Linked DNA regions of Oryzias latipes. The protein of the gene in region 2 purifies or fractionates together with the protein of the main gene of each other region. This does not show direct contact. Links are inferred from orthologs where the notes say so. Each region holds a gene or a part of one and is shown on either strand. Other genes may lie near its edges.

What was found.
Region 1: the proteins of dyrk1a (region 2) and sec16a purify together in Homo sapiens (affinity purification with mass spectrometry, with the first as the bait; 3 studies listed by BioGRID). This does not show direct contact. The link is inferred for Oryzias latipes from reciprocal best matches to the Homo sapiens genes DYRK1A and SEC16A.
Region 3: the proteins of dyrk1a (region 2) and prkar1a purify together in Homo sapiens (affinity purification with mass spectrometry; 6 studies listed by BioGRID and IntAct, with this or other methods). This does not show direct contact. The link is inferred for Oryzias latipes from reciprocal best matches to the Homo sapiens genes DYRK1A and PRKAR1A.
Region 4: the proteins of dyrk1a (region 2) and fam117a purify together in Homo sapiens (affinity purification with mass spectrometry; 4 studies listed by BioGRID and IntAct, with this or other methods). This does not show direct contact. The link is inferred for Oryzias latipes from reciprocal best matches to the Homo sapiens genes DYRK1A and FAM117A.

The regions. Positions count from the first base shown.
Region 1 is NC_019870.2:8,822,969-8,827,102, forward strand, and holds the start of sec16a (protein transport protein Sec16A), read right to left. Parts: upstream 2,802-4,134; 5' UTR 2,716-2,801; intron 805-2,715; 5' UTR 733-804; coding exon 1-732. UniProt on the Homo sapiens protein: Acts as a molecular scaffold that plays a key role in the organization of the endoplasmic reticulum exit sites (ERES), also known as transitional endoplasmic reticulum (tER).
Region 2 is NC_019871.2:12,328,085-12,331,596, reverse strand, and holds part of dyrk1a (dual specificity tyrosine-phosphorylation-regulated kinase 1A), read right to left. Parts: intron 2,501-3,512; coding exon 2,304-2,500; intron 2,047-2,303; coding exon 1,954-2,046; intron 1,638-1,953; coding exon 1,449-1,637; intron 1,287-1,448; coding exon 1,139-1,286; intron 1,050-1,138; coding exon 763-1,049; intron 638-762; coding exon 491-637; intron 271-490; coding exon 130-270; intron 20-129; coding exon 1-19. UniProt on the Homo sapiens protein: Dual-specificity kinase which possesses both serine/threonine and tyrosine kinase activities. Exhibits a substrate preference for proline at position P+1 and arginine at position P-3.
Region 3 is NC_019877.2:4,028,800-4,032,882, reverse strand, and holds the start of prkar1a (cAMP-dependent protein kinase type I-alpha regulatory subunit), read right to left. Parts: upstream 2,802-4,083; 5' UTR 2,644-2,801; intron 1,225-2,643; 5' UTR 1,184-1,224; coding exon 1,010-1,183; intron 1-1,009. UniProt on the Homo sapiens protein: Regulatory subunit of the cAMP-dependent protein kinases involved in cAMP signaling in cells.
Region 4 is NC_019866.2:4,184,059-4,188,315, reverse strand, and holds the start of fam117a (protein FAM117A), read right to left. Parts: upstream 2,802-4,257; 5' UTR 2,441-2,801; coding exon 2,317-2,440; intron 1,417-2,316; coding exon 1,271-1,416; intron 1,047-1,270; coding exon 1,014-1,046; intron 255-1,013; exon of another isoform or gene 1-254.

The DNA.
Region 1 (4,134 bases), on a different chromosome or scaffold from region 2:
ATGAGGCGACTGACTGTGAGGGGGGTACATTTGAGGCTGTGGATCTATATTCAATAGCTGTGGTGGAGGATCACTAGTAGGCTGGAAATAGTTTTGAACTGATGGGGGGCGACTTGTGTGTTCAGGAGCCCACTGAGGAAAAGATGATGCAGGGGGGTGCGGCTGAAAGTGAACAGGATTAGAAGGAGGCAGTTGTCCTTGAAATGATTGGTTAAAATGTGTCTGACTGGGTGCTGAAGTTGCTGCCATTGGTGGGGACTCGGTCGACACGGACGACGTTTGATCTCTCGAATTAAAGTAGCCCTGTTCACTATTTGAAGATGTATGTTCTGTTTGACTTGGAGCAGGTAGAACTCCAGGAGGTACTGCACTGTGATGGTCTAAGAGGGGAACCCCTGGCAAAGTGGATGGTGGAGGAACAGATGGAGCAAACGGAACACCGCCCAGCGATTGCGGCTGTGGAGGCAGCCCCGACCCATGCTGGGAATACGTGGCACTAGGTGGTGTTTGCATTTGAGGAAGGTTGCCCGTTGGTATTGTTGGGATACCACCTGTAGCCATAGGGGGAGGAGCTTGACCAAAAGCAAAAGGATTTGTCATGGGTTGGGTAGCAGGAGGCATTGTACCAGTCGCTGCTGCAGACTTCTGAGGCCTGGTCCTACGAAACATATTTGGCCCAGAGGGAGGAGGGCCGGAGGCTCCCGGAGGTCCAGCCCGAGGAGGAGGTTGCATGTTTAGAAAACGAGCGGATCCCAATCACTCTGTAAGGTATCACTGAAGACACTCAGGCGCAGTCAGGCATAGCTGTACAGAAAGAAAAGGAGCAGTCAAAGCAGACCCGTGTCCCCTTGATGAAGTCATCCACACCTTTATTTGTATAAACAGCGCAACGTGGCAATTGTTCATAGAGTTCTGAATTGGTTCTGGTTGTAGCAATAATAGTTATTGTATTTAAGTATGTATTATTTTAAAAAAGGATACATAATGTGAATTCAGTGTTAAACTGCAGTAACATGATTTGGATTTAGTGTCAATTAAAATTTTTGTACTGAATTGCAGAAAATCTGAGCTTTTGAGTTTAGAATTTTATACTTTTTAAACATTTATTTATGGTTTGAACAAAAACAAATATAGTCCCACTCAGATCATCTTTTAAAAGCGTTTCCAGTGGTCTTTTAATTATGATTATGCCGTTTTTAGCCACAAAAACAACCCCCACCAAACAACTGTGTTGTTTTCTAGGACATAGTTTTTGCAGAGCGGCAGTGGTTCATTAAAATTTTGCCTCCAAGTTGTGGGCAAAACTGTTCGTGCAGTGTAATGTAAGCCTGACACTACTTCCTTTCATCCTTTTGTTTACACTCTCTCCTTCTAGCTTACAACCCTTCACACCCCCAGCCTAACAAAAATGGCGAGCAACATCGGAAATAGCCAGTTGTACAGTTTGGAGCCTGATGCCAGCTCGGATGCGGAAAATAATGGATCTATTCGCATTTGAATGGATCGGAGAAGGGAGCTGCTACTACTACTCACTACTACAAGTTTTTTCCAACAACATTTTTTCACCTGCTCCTGATTCACAACGATTTTAATAAAGAAAAACTCAGAAATGCTTAATTTTCTTTATATATGTTCTCCATCAGGAGAAAAATGCCACAAGGACATTTGAAATACACAATCTTTTATCAGAGTGAGTCTTTAACACTTAAACTTTTGTACAAAGATACTGAAAAAACTATGGTCTATCACTATTATATATTCATGACTATAAAAGGTTTCATTAACATTAAGTTAGTGATTATTTTAAACTAAAAACAACATTTCTATGACTTTAGAGATCAAGAAGAAACTTTGACACATTTAAAACAGCTGCGCTTTGTTTTTTCACATTTTTCATTCACAGAAAATATGACAGCATTTTTGTAAAGTTACACATTAATTCGTGAAATTCTGATAAAATATGCCAACTGACAACACAAATGAGTAAATCAATCAGATATACTCAAATGCAGATTAGGAAAGGAATAAGACATTTTAGCTAGCTAGCTAAAAGGGCACAGCTTGTGTTTTCCACTAGAGTTGCTACGTGATCCCGGATCTTTAAGTGGTTTATATTGACATAGACCGGTTGCAACCCGGTAAGCTAGCGCTAACGTTGCTGGCATTCTAACTTTTGATAAGTCACAAATGCAAATTGAAAACTCTCGACTTTCTCTCAATACTCTCAAACTTGTTGTTACATAACCAAGGCGTACTCCCTTCGATCATGTAGAGTTAGCCTGTACAGATCAGAGTGCCAAAGAGGAAGAGTGCGAGTGCTTGGCTTTACAAAGCTAACGGGAACGCTACATGTCCTGAACGACATATCCAGCAAAACAAATGTTTTAAGTATGTAAAAATCAAACGAAACAGACCAAAAACAAGTGATCAGCTTCAATTCGAGTAAAATTTGCACTGAAAATGACAAACAGATATGCGATAGGACTCTGGCCACTCGTCGAGTGTTAATTAACAGGTTCACTGCCTGGTCAGTTAGCCTTAGCATTACTGGTTAGTTAGCATGGCTAACTACCTAGCCTTCGCTAACTACTCGTGAACACTTTAATGCTTCTTAATAAAACAAATGAAAAGTTCAGCTGTCAAAAGTGTCAATTATATTATCAAAATAGGGTCATTTGATCTCACAAATGTTTACAGATAAAAGTCAATTCTTACAAATACGCAGGACACTTGGTCTGACACACCACCATCTTCAATGAACACATCCTTCTGGACTACGTGTACAAGCAGCGTCACGGGCCAAATCCCGAGTGGGCGGGGCTGATTCCAGGGGCGTCTCTAGAAAATCCTGGCTCGTGGGGCCAGATGGGTCCCATTAAAAAAAAGCACAACATATTTTCCTTTAATTGGGATACGATTTGATTTAGTACAGCTTAGCTGTGTAAAACATAGTTTTTTAATCTTAAAGTCAACATATTTACATAGAATCTGAGGATGGCAATATTTTCAGAAATACTTTTTTTTTTTAAACTATTTTTAATTTGGAAAAAATTAAACAGACAGGAAAAAATATAATTAAATACAAAATATTGAATATATTAATTATATTAAATATAAAAAGTCTACTACTCGGAATAAAAAGCAGAAAAAATCACCTTATTGTAGTTTTTGGCAAAAATACCTAAATGTTTAAGATTTTTTCAATATAAATGCAAGGTTAGACAAAGAGTTTCTTTTAGCAAATCTTAAAGGCAATCTGACTTAGAATGTGTGCATGATCAACTTTAATGAATTAAATTAATTAAATTTGTCATAATATGTTATCTCTTGTTTCATTTTAACCTCTGGTGAGCATTTTGATACTAAAAAGCTTGTTGGTGGCAGCAATCTGTCCTTTTGGCTTTTGAACAAACTGAACTTAGACTTACAGCTACTGCTTTTACAGACAGAAGGTCAGAATTTTTTTTATTTGATTAAAACAGCTAAGTGAGGAAAGCAGAAATTTGTTTTAGTTTTTAATTGACGTATTCCTTATGTATTAGTTTGTTTATTGGGGTTTGCAAAATCCCCTTGATATTAAATCAGTTTGTTAAAATGGGGAACGATCTACGTGTGTGGACTTGGAGACAGTGGGGAAGTAGTTGATGTCTGAACTGGCCTTTTAAAAAGCAACTTTTAGTGTCTGCTTATAAATTTATTTGGCTTGATGTGACTCAAATGCTTATTGTAACTCACAAATACCTCAAACAATGTGGTTGATAATTAAGGTGGCATATATGAACATGCTTAGATCAACCTCAAGATATGGTCATAGAAGTTTAGGAGTATGAGGTTCTAAAGGTGCCCAAAAAAGGGTTGAAACCGTGTTAAAAGCTTATGTTAGAAAAGGCATTCTCTTCATTGTCTGATAATGCCTTTTAGAAAGTGTTTATGTAACGGGGCCCATGCTAAAACATGCTAATGACAGTGTTTTGAAATTAGGAATAAATTTAAAAGAGCCCTAAAAGGCTGCATAGAATTTTGTGGCTAACTAAAACACAATATTTCATGAGAATGAATATGCGCTGGAATAAACAGAAAGGAAATGGAATTAAAATATTTTGAACATAACACGACTCTAATTATATAGTCCCC
Region 2 (3,512 bases):
GCGAAGCTGGAGGCTTATACTACAAAGAAACCAAAGACATGTAAAGCTTTTTAATGTGCATATCAAGACATCAAACAAGACAGTTCCGTCATCAGCACCCATCAGTTGGCGTTAAAGCTGTCAACTCACCCTTTTGCCATCTTTGGTCTTCTTAACACTCCATGTACCATCTGAAAGCTTCTCAAAGAACTTCCTGGCTTTTGGGGCTAGGTCCATTATGTGATTGGGTGGGATGCCAAGAACCTCGACTATTTTGTTCATCTGGTCCACCTGAAGAAACCAAATGCATCTTTTAATAAGTATTTGCACTCATTATAAATGAGGGTAAATGTCAAAATGCTTCTAAGCTCTTGTAGGAACACACCACGGCTTACAAATCCAGTTTTAAGGGTACTTTTTTATTGAAGAACTACAAACAAGGTGACTTTTCGATATTCCTGTTATCAATAAGCTCCACATATGTCTTTGATATTTTTATCATGTTTTATACCTCATTGGCTCCACTAAATAGAGGCTCTCCGGTATGCATCTCTACCAAGATGCAACCCAAGGACCACATGTCGATGGCCAGGTCATAGGGCATTCCCAGCAACACTTCTGGAGAACGGTAGAAGCGACTCTGGATATACTGGTATATCTACAAACACAAAGCGTGGGAAGTGAGGGTGACTGTAAAGCGCATTGCTTTTGTTGAAAATTGCAAACCATTTCTCACAAACACACATAGACTGTATAGCAGATGAAATATATGATGGTAGATACCCTTTGTCCCAGTTGGCATGAACTGCCAAAGTCCACTATTTTGATGGCACTCCTCTTGGGGTTACAAAGGAGGATGTTCTCGGGCTTCAGGTCACAGTGGATGATGCTGAGCTCGGGGGTGGCCAGGAAGAGTAGTGCCGTGCATAGCTGCTGGGCAAACTTCCGGGTGAGATTGAGTGAGACGCCGCGGAAGTTGGTATTTCGAAGCAGGTCGTATAAATTATATGACAGCATTTCAAACACGAGGCAGAGATGGTTACGGAACATGAAGTGACGTTTCAGGTGGACTGCAAAGAAACAAAAATTGGACGCGTTAGTCGCTGACACTGCAAGCCGTTGGATTTGTTCTGTATGTGGGACATCAAAAGTAAATTACCAATATAGTATTTCATCTCCGTATCATGTTTGTTCATAAGCTCCAGAAGGCGCACTTCAATCTGGGCTTGATTAAGGAAAGCTTTCTTGTTCTTAATGATCTTAATGGCAACCCATTCTTGCTCTACTCGGTCATAAGCTTTCACAACCTGAGAATTGAACAAAACCAGTATTAAATATGTTAAAAGTATTATATCTGAAGCACATTTGTTACACTAAACATCAAGATTTAAAACCAAAAAAAGGAAGGTCAGAAAGCTGGAACCCCTTAGAAGTGGACAAATAACAGACTGTCAGTTTTAATTCCTCACCTGTCCGAATGATCCTTTTCCTATTAAGGAATCGATCTCATAGCGGTCCATCCACTTCTCCCCATTCTTGACGATGTAGTCATAGTTATCATCGTCATAGCCATCATTGAAAACCTTCCTCTCCTTTTTGTGACTGGAGTCTTCACCCTGACCCTGTTGGTGCCGCCGCTTCTTTTTTGCATAATAAACCTGAAAAAGAAAAAAAGAAAATTGAATGCATTTCAGAAAAGCACATGCAGAGATTTCTTCAGGAAATGTTAAATGTTCCTTTGGATTTTGCTCCAACAAATTAGGTTTTTCATGTATAAAATTCCTGTTTTTTTAAATGAATAATAATGTTTTTTTCTTATAAATTAAAAATATCTATCTTTATGAACAACAAATTCATAAAATAATAAAGACTACCAATTTAAAAAAAAAGAATGTTGAAATAGCAAACATCTTAAAACAAGGGGAAAACAAATGTCAAAGAATGATTTGAACTTTTACTAAAGCAAAGCCTCACCTCATTGATGTGTTTGTATGTTTTGATAAGGTCGATGGAGAGCTTCCTCAGGGGAGCTGAAGTTGGGTCACGAAAGCACTGGGGCATGTGCCTCTGAAATAAAAGTACAACAACATTTTACAAACAAACAAAAGAAACACAACTTTAGAAGTAAAAAGTTCCTCTTACAGGGTTTGTGTTTAAACTTCAAAGCTGTTAACACAATGTGACACAATTACACAGAAAGACATTTGACATGCAGCTACTCTGCCTAGTGATACTTGTTTAAAAAAAGGGAGCAAACTTTTGTGTGCAATTAAGTTTAGCTATTCCTGTAAATCCTAAAAGGGCAGTGGGAAGGGTGATTGTACCTGATTGGCAGTGAGCTGTGGTGTCTGGTCGCTGTACGGTAAAACCGTAACAGATTGGTCAGTGGTTGGCTGGTGGCGGTCACTGTACTGCTGGTGCGTATGGGGCATTGGAGCAGCCATCTGAAGACCAGCAGTGTGTAAAGAAAAAGAGGGCGCAAGCCGGACGGACGAAGGTTTGCATGCTGAAGTCTCTCCTCCTAAAAAGGAAATTAAAGTTCCCTTTAAAGTCATTGAACAGAGAAACATACAAAAGTGAAAAAGGAAAATAAAAGAGGTCATCAGAGATTTAACGCTACAAAGAAAGCCAGCAAGATGTATTATGTTATTTACAGGTAAAACAATATAATAAAGAAACATTATTTGTTGTTTAGATTTACAAAAAAAACTTCAGCTTAGTTTAAGATGAAAAGAAATTATCTATAGGAATTTATAAATGCAAATTAACAGCATTATTTACATTTGTGTTAATAATCAATCTCAAATGATGATAAACACCAACAAAAACAGCAAAATCTAGTAAATTAAAGAATTAAATGTCAGGTTTATACACAGTGCTATGTTAAACATGTACACGTTAAACAATGCAATCAAAGGACAACCCCAAAAAAATCAAAACACAGCAGAAATATGTCAACCTTTGTGAGGAAAAGGGGAAAAAACAGCCAGTTTAACAGTGAAAAGGGGTGAGAATACAGCATCTCCACACTGTACGGTGAATCATCCTTCATTTTAAGCCAGAAGGAATCAAAAAATTATTAAATAGCATGTTCAGCTATCAGCATCTCTCACCAGACAACACAATTCACCAGTGCTACACAGTAACCACTATTCAGAATCCCAGCAACAGCACCTAATTAGCATAGCCTATCACCACAGAGATACAGCGTGATTTGGCAAGCCCATCAACGCACAGACCAATCACAACGCAGTATGCAAATAGCCTACTTTTGTTGCCAGGGCAGAGCTGCTCCCATTTTCCAATGAGAAAACAAGAAATAAACAAGAAATAAAATTGAACTTTGGCACACTTAGACGTTGCTTTCAACACAAGAGCCTGACAGCAAAATAGCTGCACAGCCTAAAACCTGCACTTCATATGAGAGCATAAGAAAGCTGACCCAGCTTTAGAAAAGTAAAGAAATACCCGTCCACTGACAGAAATAAAAGGAGCTGTAAGATGAGCAGAGAGCAACACTATATTTGAGGTGC
Region 3 (4,083 bases), on a different chromosome or scaffold from region 2:
ACTGGTAAAAGCTAAAAAGATTTTTTTAAATGCCCCTGCAGAGTTAAGAAAAGACATTTTTTGATTTTTTTTTTGTTTTGTGTTTTGTTATTTAATGTTTACTTATTTAACTTTTTTGGTTTGCCTACTATACAATCAGAAAAAAATGCAAAAATGGATATAAAAATGTGCATATATCAATATATACGCACATGCTTTAGCACACTGACAGAAAAACACATAACTTTAGAAGCCCACACCAGTGAAAATACTGTGTTTATGTTTTTAACAGGTTCTTGTGGCATTTTTCTGATGACATATTAAAATCAAAATTGCATTACTGAGTATTTCTTTATTCATACTGTTGTGAAACAGACGCTAACGACAAAAGATTGTCTTTATGGCGTAGAAAATACTCCATGAGCTCCCTGTGCTGAGCTCTCAGCATTGAGGACGGAATTGGTCTGCGCCAACGGTCCCGTCCACAACTCAGAGGTGAATTTCTAAGGAGCTACTGACGCTCTGCGCTCTACAGGTTTTTTCAATTTGGCTAAAAACAATATAGTCATAGTTAAAAGACGGCTGGAAATACTCTTAAAATAGATCAAAAAATGATCTGAACAGAACAGATTGTATATGTTTAATGCTAAATAAAACATATACAAATAAATACATAATAAATAATATGATCTTCTTCAGCAAGTCATTTTCATCTTCTTCCATTTTGTCCCTTTCGGGGTCACGGGGCTGACGAAGGCAGGGGACATCCTGGACAGGTCGCCAGTCTGTCGCAGGGCCACATATCACACACTCTCACACTCAGCCAGGACTTGAACCGGGGGACTTCTTGCTATGACGCAAGAGTGCTAACCACTGTGCCACCGTGCAGCCCCTTCTTCAGCCAGTGTGAAAGTTAAATAAGAACTCACGGCTTAGTCACAGTCTTTGAAGACTGTGACTAAGCCGTGAGTTCTGGGATGCTCATCCTAACATCTGTCCACTAAAAGTTACAGTTTAAGGGCAAACCAACCTTCTCCAGCCTCTCGAAGTACTCCCGGAGGAAAGCCATGGGCCTGTCGGGCCTGGAGGTGCACAGCTGGACAATGCAGTCCTTCAGCAACTGCTGGATGTTGTGTTTCTGCACGTACTGCTCACACTCCCTCAGACTCCGCTCCTCCTCGCTGCTCGTGCTTCCAGATGCCATGACGACAACCGCAACCCTGCTCTGTGACCTCTACCCTTGTGCTGGAGTGGGGAAAAGAAAAAGAAAAACAGCTGGATGTCAAATCAGCAACGTGGGATTCACAGATTCAGTGATGTAAATTTAAAACTTTCTTCTCAAGATGGGGAGGAAAACAAAAAAGATAGGCAGAGACCAATGTCATGAGAGACAAAGACAACCCAAGAGCTCAAAAACAGGATGAGTACAACCACAGAGCAAAAAGTGGTCATATGATACGATCAAACATATCTCACTAAAGAGATCAAACTGAAAGAGAGCAACGAAATCTGTATTAAGGAGGCATAACTGAACAATATTAAACAAATATGTTGGGCATTAAAGATCAGGGATTAAATTCTCCATAAGAATGAACTCTCTCATTCTAGAATTGAAAAATCCTCTGGAAGAAAGGGTGAAATAATCATGAAATATTAGTTATTTTTACTTTGATGTACATTTTTAGGTTACACTACCGCTTAAGAGCTAAAGAGCCTGAATAAAGCTTGACCAACTGTGATCTCAGTCATGGTTTCAGATGCATTTCTAAAGCCTAGTTGGGATCAATGTGTGCCCTTTAGATGAATAAAAGGTCAAGGACGAGGCCCGGGGAACAAATCAAACTATGCGCTTTGTCTTCTCCACAGTCATTCTCCACGCACACACACCAATAATAGGAGGGAGATTACGAACCATGTGATCAAAAATGAGTCTGGCATCGTTTTACTGTAGCTAACTACGACAGGAGGTAGAAACTTGAGTTTGGTTTAGTCCAAACTAGAGCAAAATACAAGCCAGACAATAATCTGTTCAGGTCTGATGTGTTATTTAGGAATAAATACATTGTCTATTGTGTTTGCATCTATTACATTTATCTAATAACAGAGTAATAAAATATTAAATGCAAATGTTTTGTCTCATTAAATTACATGGAGAAGCGTTAACGACAGAAACAGTACGTATTTAGCAAAAACAATGTGATGTCATGTAACTAACTGTAAGGATGCATTACAATGAATTATACTTAAAAAAAACTACATGCAGAAAACAACAGTTTATTTACAACCACGGAAATATGTTAGCTTATGTTCCTCGAGCCTCGTCTACTAGCGTCAGGATAGCTAGTTCGACAAGCAGAAAGCAACAGCCAAGTCAACTACAGCCAGAGGATTACATTAAAAACACACACAAAAATCGATTCTTATTACTATGATGAGTTATTTCTTTGTCCAATTTAAGATCCTAATCGACTATCTGTGGCCTACGGTGTGCCGTAATGAGCGCGTCTCGTGTGATGCCTAGCTGGCTAGCTCAGTGCAAAGGCAAAGCTCCCCTTCAATGACGCCATCTTGAGTTCTAGCATAAACAAACGAGGAACGAAGGAAACAAATTTCACCCATTTAAAGGTCAAACGCTCCACGCGCCGAAACAACAAAAACACTCACTTGAAACTGTAAAATCCCACCGAGCCTTTCGACAGACACTCGGTAGATTAGATATTTTATAAAGCGCCCCGTTACCCGATCCTCCTCCTCACTTCGATTTTTTTCCTGGCCCTGGACCGCTGCCCCACCGGATACGGTTGAGGACCAATCAACAGCCGTCATTGACGTCAATCCTTCTCGTTCTGACATATGAGCCCGTTTCCCCTGGCAACCTTAAAGCGATCGCACCAAATTTTGATTTAAAGTATAGGTTTAAAAGTTTTTATTTTTCAGAAAAAAAAGGATTCTGTTTCTAAATAGTACTGAATCCTACACTACGAAAAAGCTGTTAGAACAGTTGACACATGGTCACATTCGAGACTTTCGCAGAATCCCTTATCTTTATTATTATTTTTTTTATTTATTTTACCTGTTTTATCTTGCTATTATTATGGCTTTTTTCCCATTTTTGTTTATTTTTCTGGTAAATGTCAAAATGTTGTCATTTGCACAGTGTTTCAATGTTTGATAGTCGGTTACAGAATATTTGTTAATAAAGTTGATTAGAAAAATAAATGTTTCCTCTTTTTTTTCAACTTCACTTTTTATTTTATTTTAAAAACTAAATAAATCAACTTATACTTGCATTTATTTACTTACTTTGGAAAATGAAAACGTTACAAGTCAAATAAGAAGACAACATAGAGGACGGACAAAAAAAACAACAAAGTAGTTGAACAAAGAAACAACAAAAGTAGTTGAAACAGAACCAAAAGACACAATTTTTGGGGAGAAATTAACAAATAAAATCCAGCAGAACAAGTTTTCATAAGCCAAGGTTCATGTAGAATTTGCATAAAGCTCTATGACAAATAAAATTGACGTAATTTATAGAATTTAACCAAAAGGGGGGTTGTTTTTGAGTTGGCTTTCCTTGTGCTATCCAATGAAATCACCAAAACATTTCCTCCTGACAAAACCCGAGGTGCCCCTGACCAATCAACAGTAACATTTTTCCAAGAAGGCGGGTCTTATTTGATGTCTCGCTGCTTTGTCCAATCATATGGCAGCTTGGAAAGATCTAGCCAATGAAATGCGGCTAAAGACAAACTAGTTTGTTCCCATTAGCCAATGGTGACTCACCTCAAAATGACGCATCATCCCATCAGCTGTTTTTGTTTTGTTGTATTAACGTTCTTAATAACACATTAATATCACATTTGAAACTAGCGGACAACAGATTAGCTATCCCGGTAGAGCAGTTGGCGGTTTTTAAAACCCGTTCGGGATATTACTGTCGGCGGGTGATGCGTGCTGTCCGGGGGAAGCTGGCAGGACAAGATTCGGGTCCATAAACTAAGAGTGCGACTAGTGCGAGCGTGGCGCTTGATCGGGAAGCAGAGAAGGGGAAGCGGACTCCAGTGTTGATCGTCCCCAAGCCCACGGCCTCCGACCTCGGAA
Region 4 (4,257 bases), on a different chromosome or scaffold from region 2:
CTAAGCTAACGATGCATGCTGCGATTCAGATCTCTCTCCCTGCAGCATAGTGGCTCTCCGTCTTACACAACAAAACCTCCTTTTAAGCTGTCGGCTTCACAGCGCCACAGAAAGGCCGCGGCGAGCAGGTAAAAATCAGATACGACCCGCTCTCCGGTTGACTAAAACGCCCGGTGCCTGGCTGGAAAGCTCAGAATGCGGCAGGAGTCGGTCATAGAGGGACGTTGGTATAGAGTTACAACCCCCCCCAACCTCATCCAAAACCAACAACTCCACCCTCCCCAAAATATGAGCCAGGGATCATGAGATACAGACCTATAAAAAGACAGGGAGATAGCACCGCGCTTGGACCACTTGAGTTTCAAGCTTGGAAAACCATTCAGGAACAAATGAAATAGCTGTCATTCACCAATATTTTGTCACTTATAAACCTGTAGACTTCAGATTACTGATTTAATTCAGTGAAAGACGTCAACGTTTGACATCCACATGTGGAAATGTTCTCCAACGCCGCTTTAGCCGAGTCGAAGGCTCATTCCAGGAGCGTTTTCTCAAAGGATGAACACATTTTAGAACATAAATGGATCTTGTTCCCAGTGGTTATGACAGTTGTATGACTGGTGGCTGATCTGAGGTCAGTTGATCCGTCGATGAGCATCTGTGGCGTTACGGCAGTTCGTGTGGAAGTAAGCAGTTACACCATCTGACATAATGCAGAGAAACTTTGTCAAAGGGGGGGGTGGGCTGCTTGTGCGAGTGTGCTTGAGGAGAGTGCTGGGGGATGGGGTGTCTGTATAATGAGGTCAGGAGGGGTTTGTTCCTCACAATGGAAGCAAAGGGGGTTCATGTGGGTTTCAACCGTGCCAGGAGCGACGATGAAGCTGCGGAGCCTGAAGATGTTACTCTGGGCTTTGTGCACTAGATTGGAGCCGATACAGTGGGGGGGGGGGAGTAGAAGAGCAGAGTATAAAGAAGAACAAAAAAACAACTATTTCCAGTTGGCTGATTCTCACCCTCTGCCTCCAACTGGAACCACAAGAAGACACCTGCAGAGCCAACATCAGATATCTTGTCTGTTATAGAAATCCTACAAGCGAAGGAGCTGACAAGCATTTGGAATTCAAGCTGCCTGCTTTTTCTTATCTGCAACATGAAGCAACAGGTTTTACGCACTGGCAGGATCACTGCTATTCTGCAGTCATCTTCACCTGCTGTAATTACACGGGTGTTTTCATCACTAATTTACACGTCGGTGGCCAGTGACATTCACCTGGGTGGCTTTGTCGTTGACACAGGTGACCGCAGAGCCCTCCGCCTCTTTGGGCCACTGTCCCTGCAGATAGGGTCCCACGATTGTGTCCAGGGAGAGAGTTCTGCGGATTGTGGGTTTCGGTGGGCGCGCCGAGGTTCTGTCCGCTTTAAGAAACAGAGAGGATGTACATGGAATCAAGGAGACTTTCACTTCCTGTTTCTATGGCGACGTAGTCGCGTTCTACCTGTAGTAATCTTATGAGTAAGTAAGACGATCCGGTGGTTTACCATAGTGCTAGTTTGTGTCAAGATCCCTTTTTCTTAATGTGTGCAGCAAAACTGAGTAAAAGTAAAAGTCTGGCAGGTGAGGATCACGCATTTGACCTGGAAACATGCTGCTAATACATTTACCACCAACCTGAGAGCACACATGGCTTCGCTCTCAGCGTCCAGGGTTGCAGGGACGCATAAACAACATGCAGATGTGAATAGAGAAACAACAGAATCAGAATCCTTTCAAATCCGCTGCTGCGTTAGCATCAAGCATGCAGCAAGAGAAAGCCTTTAGGTCAGAGTGCAAAAGGAGGAGCAGCTAAGTGTCCAAATAACATTATGAGAGGAGTGTAGCTTGACTTTCACATCGTGCTGAAACTGTATTTGTAAGCCCACTTTTGGAAAAGAAAATATTGGACAACTGGTCCATTTGGTTCTCCAATAGGCTGAGAAATGTGACTTTTTTTCTCGAAACTAAATTGTAATAATGCAGATTTTCTACTGTCTCTTGAGTCACAGTATGCGGAATGTTGTCTAGATATTTAAGTGAATGTGTTTGTCCACTAATAAAAACTGCAACAAAAGCCCTGGATTGGTTCTAGAAGATCCCCTCATGCAACTCGATCTATTATACATACATCTATGATTTAGTTATCTAGTCAAAAGGATCTGCATCACTCACTCATTGTTGAGCAGTTGTGCACTTTTTTTGTCTCACATAAAACAATAAAGCTTTGGACCACATGGAGGTGAATGCGCACTGACACCCCCTCCTCTTGCGTGCGTATTTACCCGTTTTGACCTCCCTGCAGAGGAGAGCGGAGCCCCTCTGGAGCTGGTACGGGACCGTGGCTCTGAGGGGTTGCAGGCTTGGGTTGCTGCACCCCCGGGGCGCTCCTCCACTCCGGCCTGACATCTCGCCTCTTGCGTCCCGCAGCCGGGCTTGTAAAAAAAAACACACCGCTTCTTTGCTCCGCGCTCACGGCTCACAGCAGCTCCTCTCTGCGCGCACTCAGTTCATCCAAAGCGAAGAAACCGCGGCGAGTCCTCTTGATTGGCACAACTCCCGAGCTTTCTTCTGCACACACTTTCATCTTTCTTTTCAATGGATTCTTTTCTTTCGATAAGAAGAACGAGCTGCGTGGGTTTGCACTTTAACGCGTCCCGGTAATCTGCGCGTTCTCCGTCATTACGCAGAAATGCGCTCCGGCGCAGAACATGCCTCAAACATTACTGCAAAGTGACAACACAACAGCTCAACCTGCACAACTATCCCGTGCAGCATATGGGCGCACCAGAGGATTTCTCACTGGTTGATGCAGATTTGTGCGGAGCGCCGATTGGCTTTCGGGTGGGTCTGTCATCAGAGCACACGGCCCAGCTGGAAAACTCCCGCCCACTTTGTGAAAACGTTCATTTTCTGTGCTTGGAGCGTCCATTCACATGGTGTGTGTGGTCTGTAAGCCTCTAGGACCTCTGAGGGTCACTGCAGGGGCTCCTCTCGATGTTCAGATGAGGTTTGGAGGGTGAAGACAATCAGGAACATGTTCTGTCACGAGGATGGAGTTCACTTATTATCCTGGTCTACAGCACTTTGTGTTAGTTCAGTTCAAGAAAATGATTTCAGACACGTGAAAACGTGCGTAGAGCAAGAAATGAAGTCAAAAGTATTCACCCAACACAATCCAAAAGGGAGGGAGAAGTATTACTAAATGTAGTACACCCACTGTCAAAGTTCAGGGCCCTAACTAAGATATGAAGGGACATGTTTCCAGATATGAAGGGCTTTTAAAGTTTTTTAATTTATTATTTCTAATTAGGATACACCCATTTTAATTTTATTTTTTCCCCACTTAATTGTTTTATGTGTAGTTGATTATTCATTTATAAGATATGTAAACTGAATGATTTCTTGGCCATCAGCCTTCTGTATTGAATTCTGAATTTTGTCACTATAAAAAAAACCTGAAAAGTGCTGTACAGTATAAACAAAGATTGTTTTGATTTGATTTGAGGAATAATGAATGTCGAAACTGATGTCAACCCGAATTATTTTTTTAAAAACATATTTGATTCAATTTTTGTATCATATTCGAATGAACTTCAGATGTTTAAAAAAACAATTGGACAAAATGGCTTGCTTGACCAGAGGAGGAGTCTTTCTGATTTTAGACTACAAAAACTCTTTTTCTGGCCATTTTCTTTTCAATAATTGAGGTTCTCTTTAAAATTGACCTTTGAACACTTTAAGGGTAATTAAAAGGCATATCAGTTTATCCAAATTTATCCAAAACTTTTTAGTTTTGACATTTTTGTAAATAAATGTAGCTTAATAAACTACATATTTAAAACCAAATTTTAATATGAATAAACCGTGTCAGAAACAAAATACACCACATGTAGTTTGGGTCTTATCTTTTATGATAACTAGAAGTTTTTCTTGGTGAATGCTTAAAGTATTCATGTCAAGTGTTGTGCGGTTAAAAAAACACTCCTTTATCAACATGTTAAAATAAAGAAACTGAATTAAATTCTTAAGCACTTTAAAAATGTTGCATCATGATTAACTCCTTAAAATAAAAACTGTAACCCAATTAGGTGTCGTGGATTTCTTTGCCGACATCAGAAAATAAAAATATTAAAGTATAGAGGATGTGTAACTGAATTCAACAAGTGATAAAAATGTGGAGGAATCTAATGAGGTTTGACTTTGTTTAAAGAATAAAGTTAGTG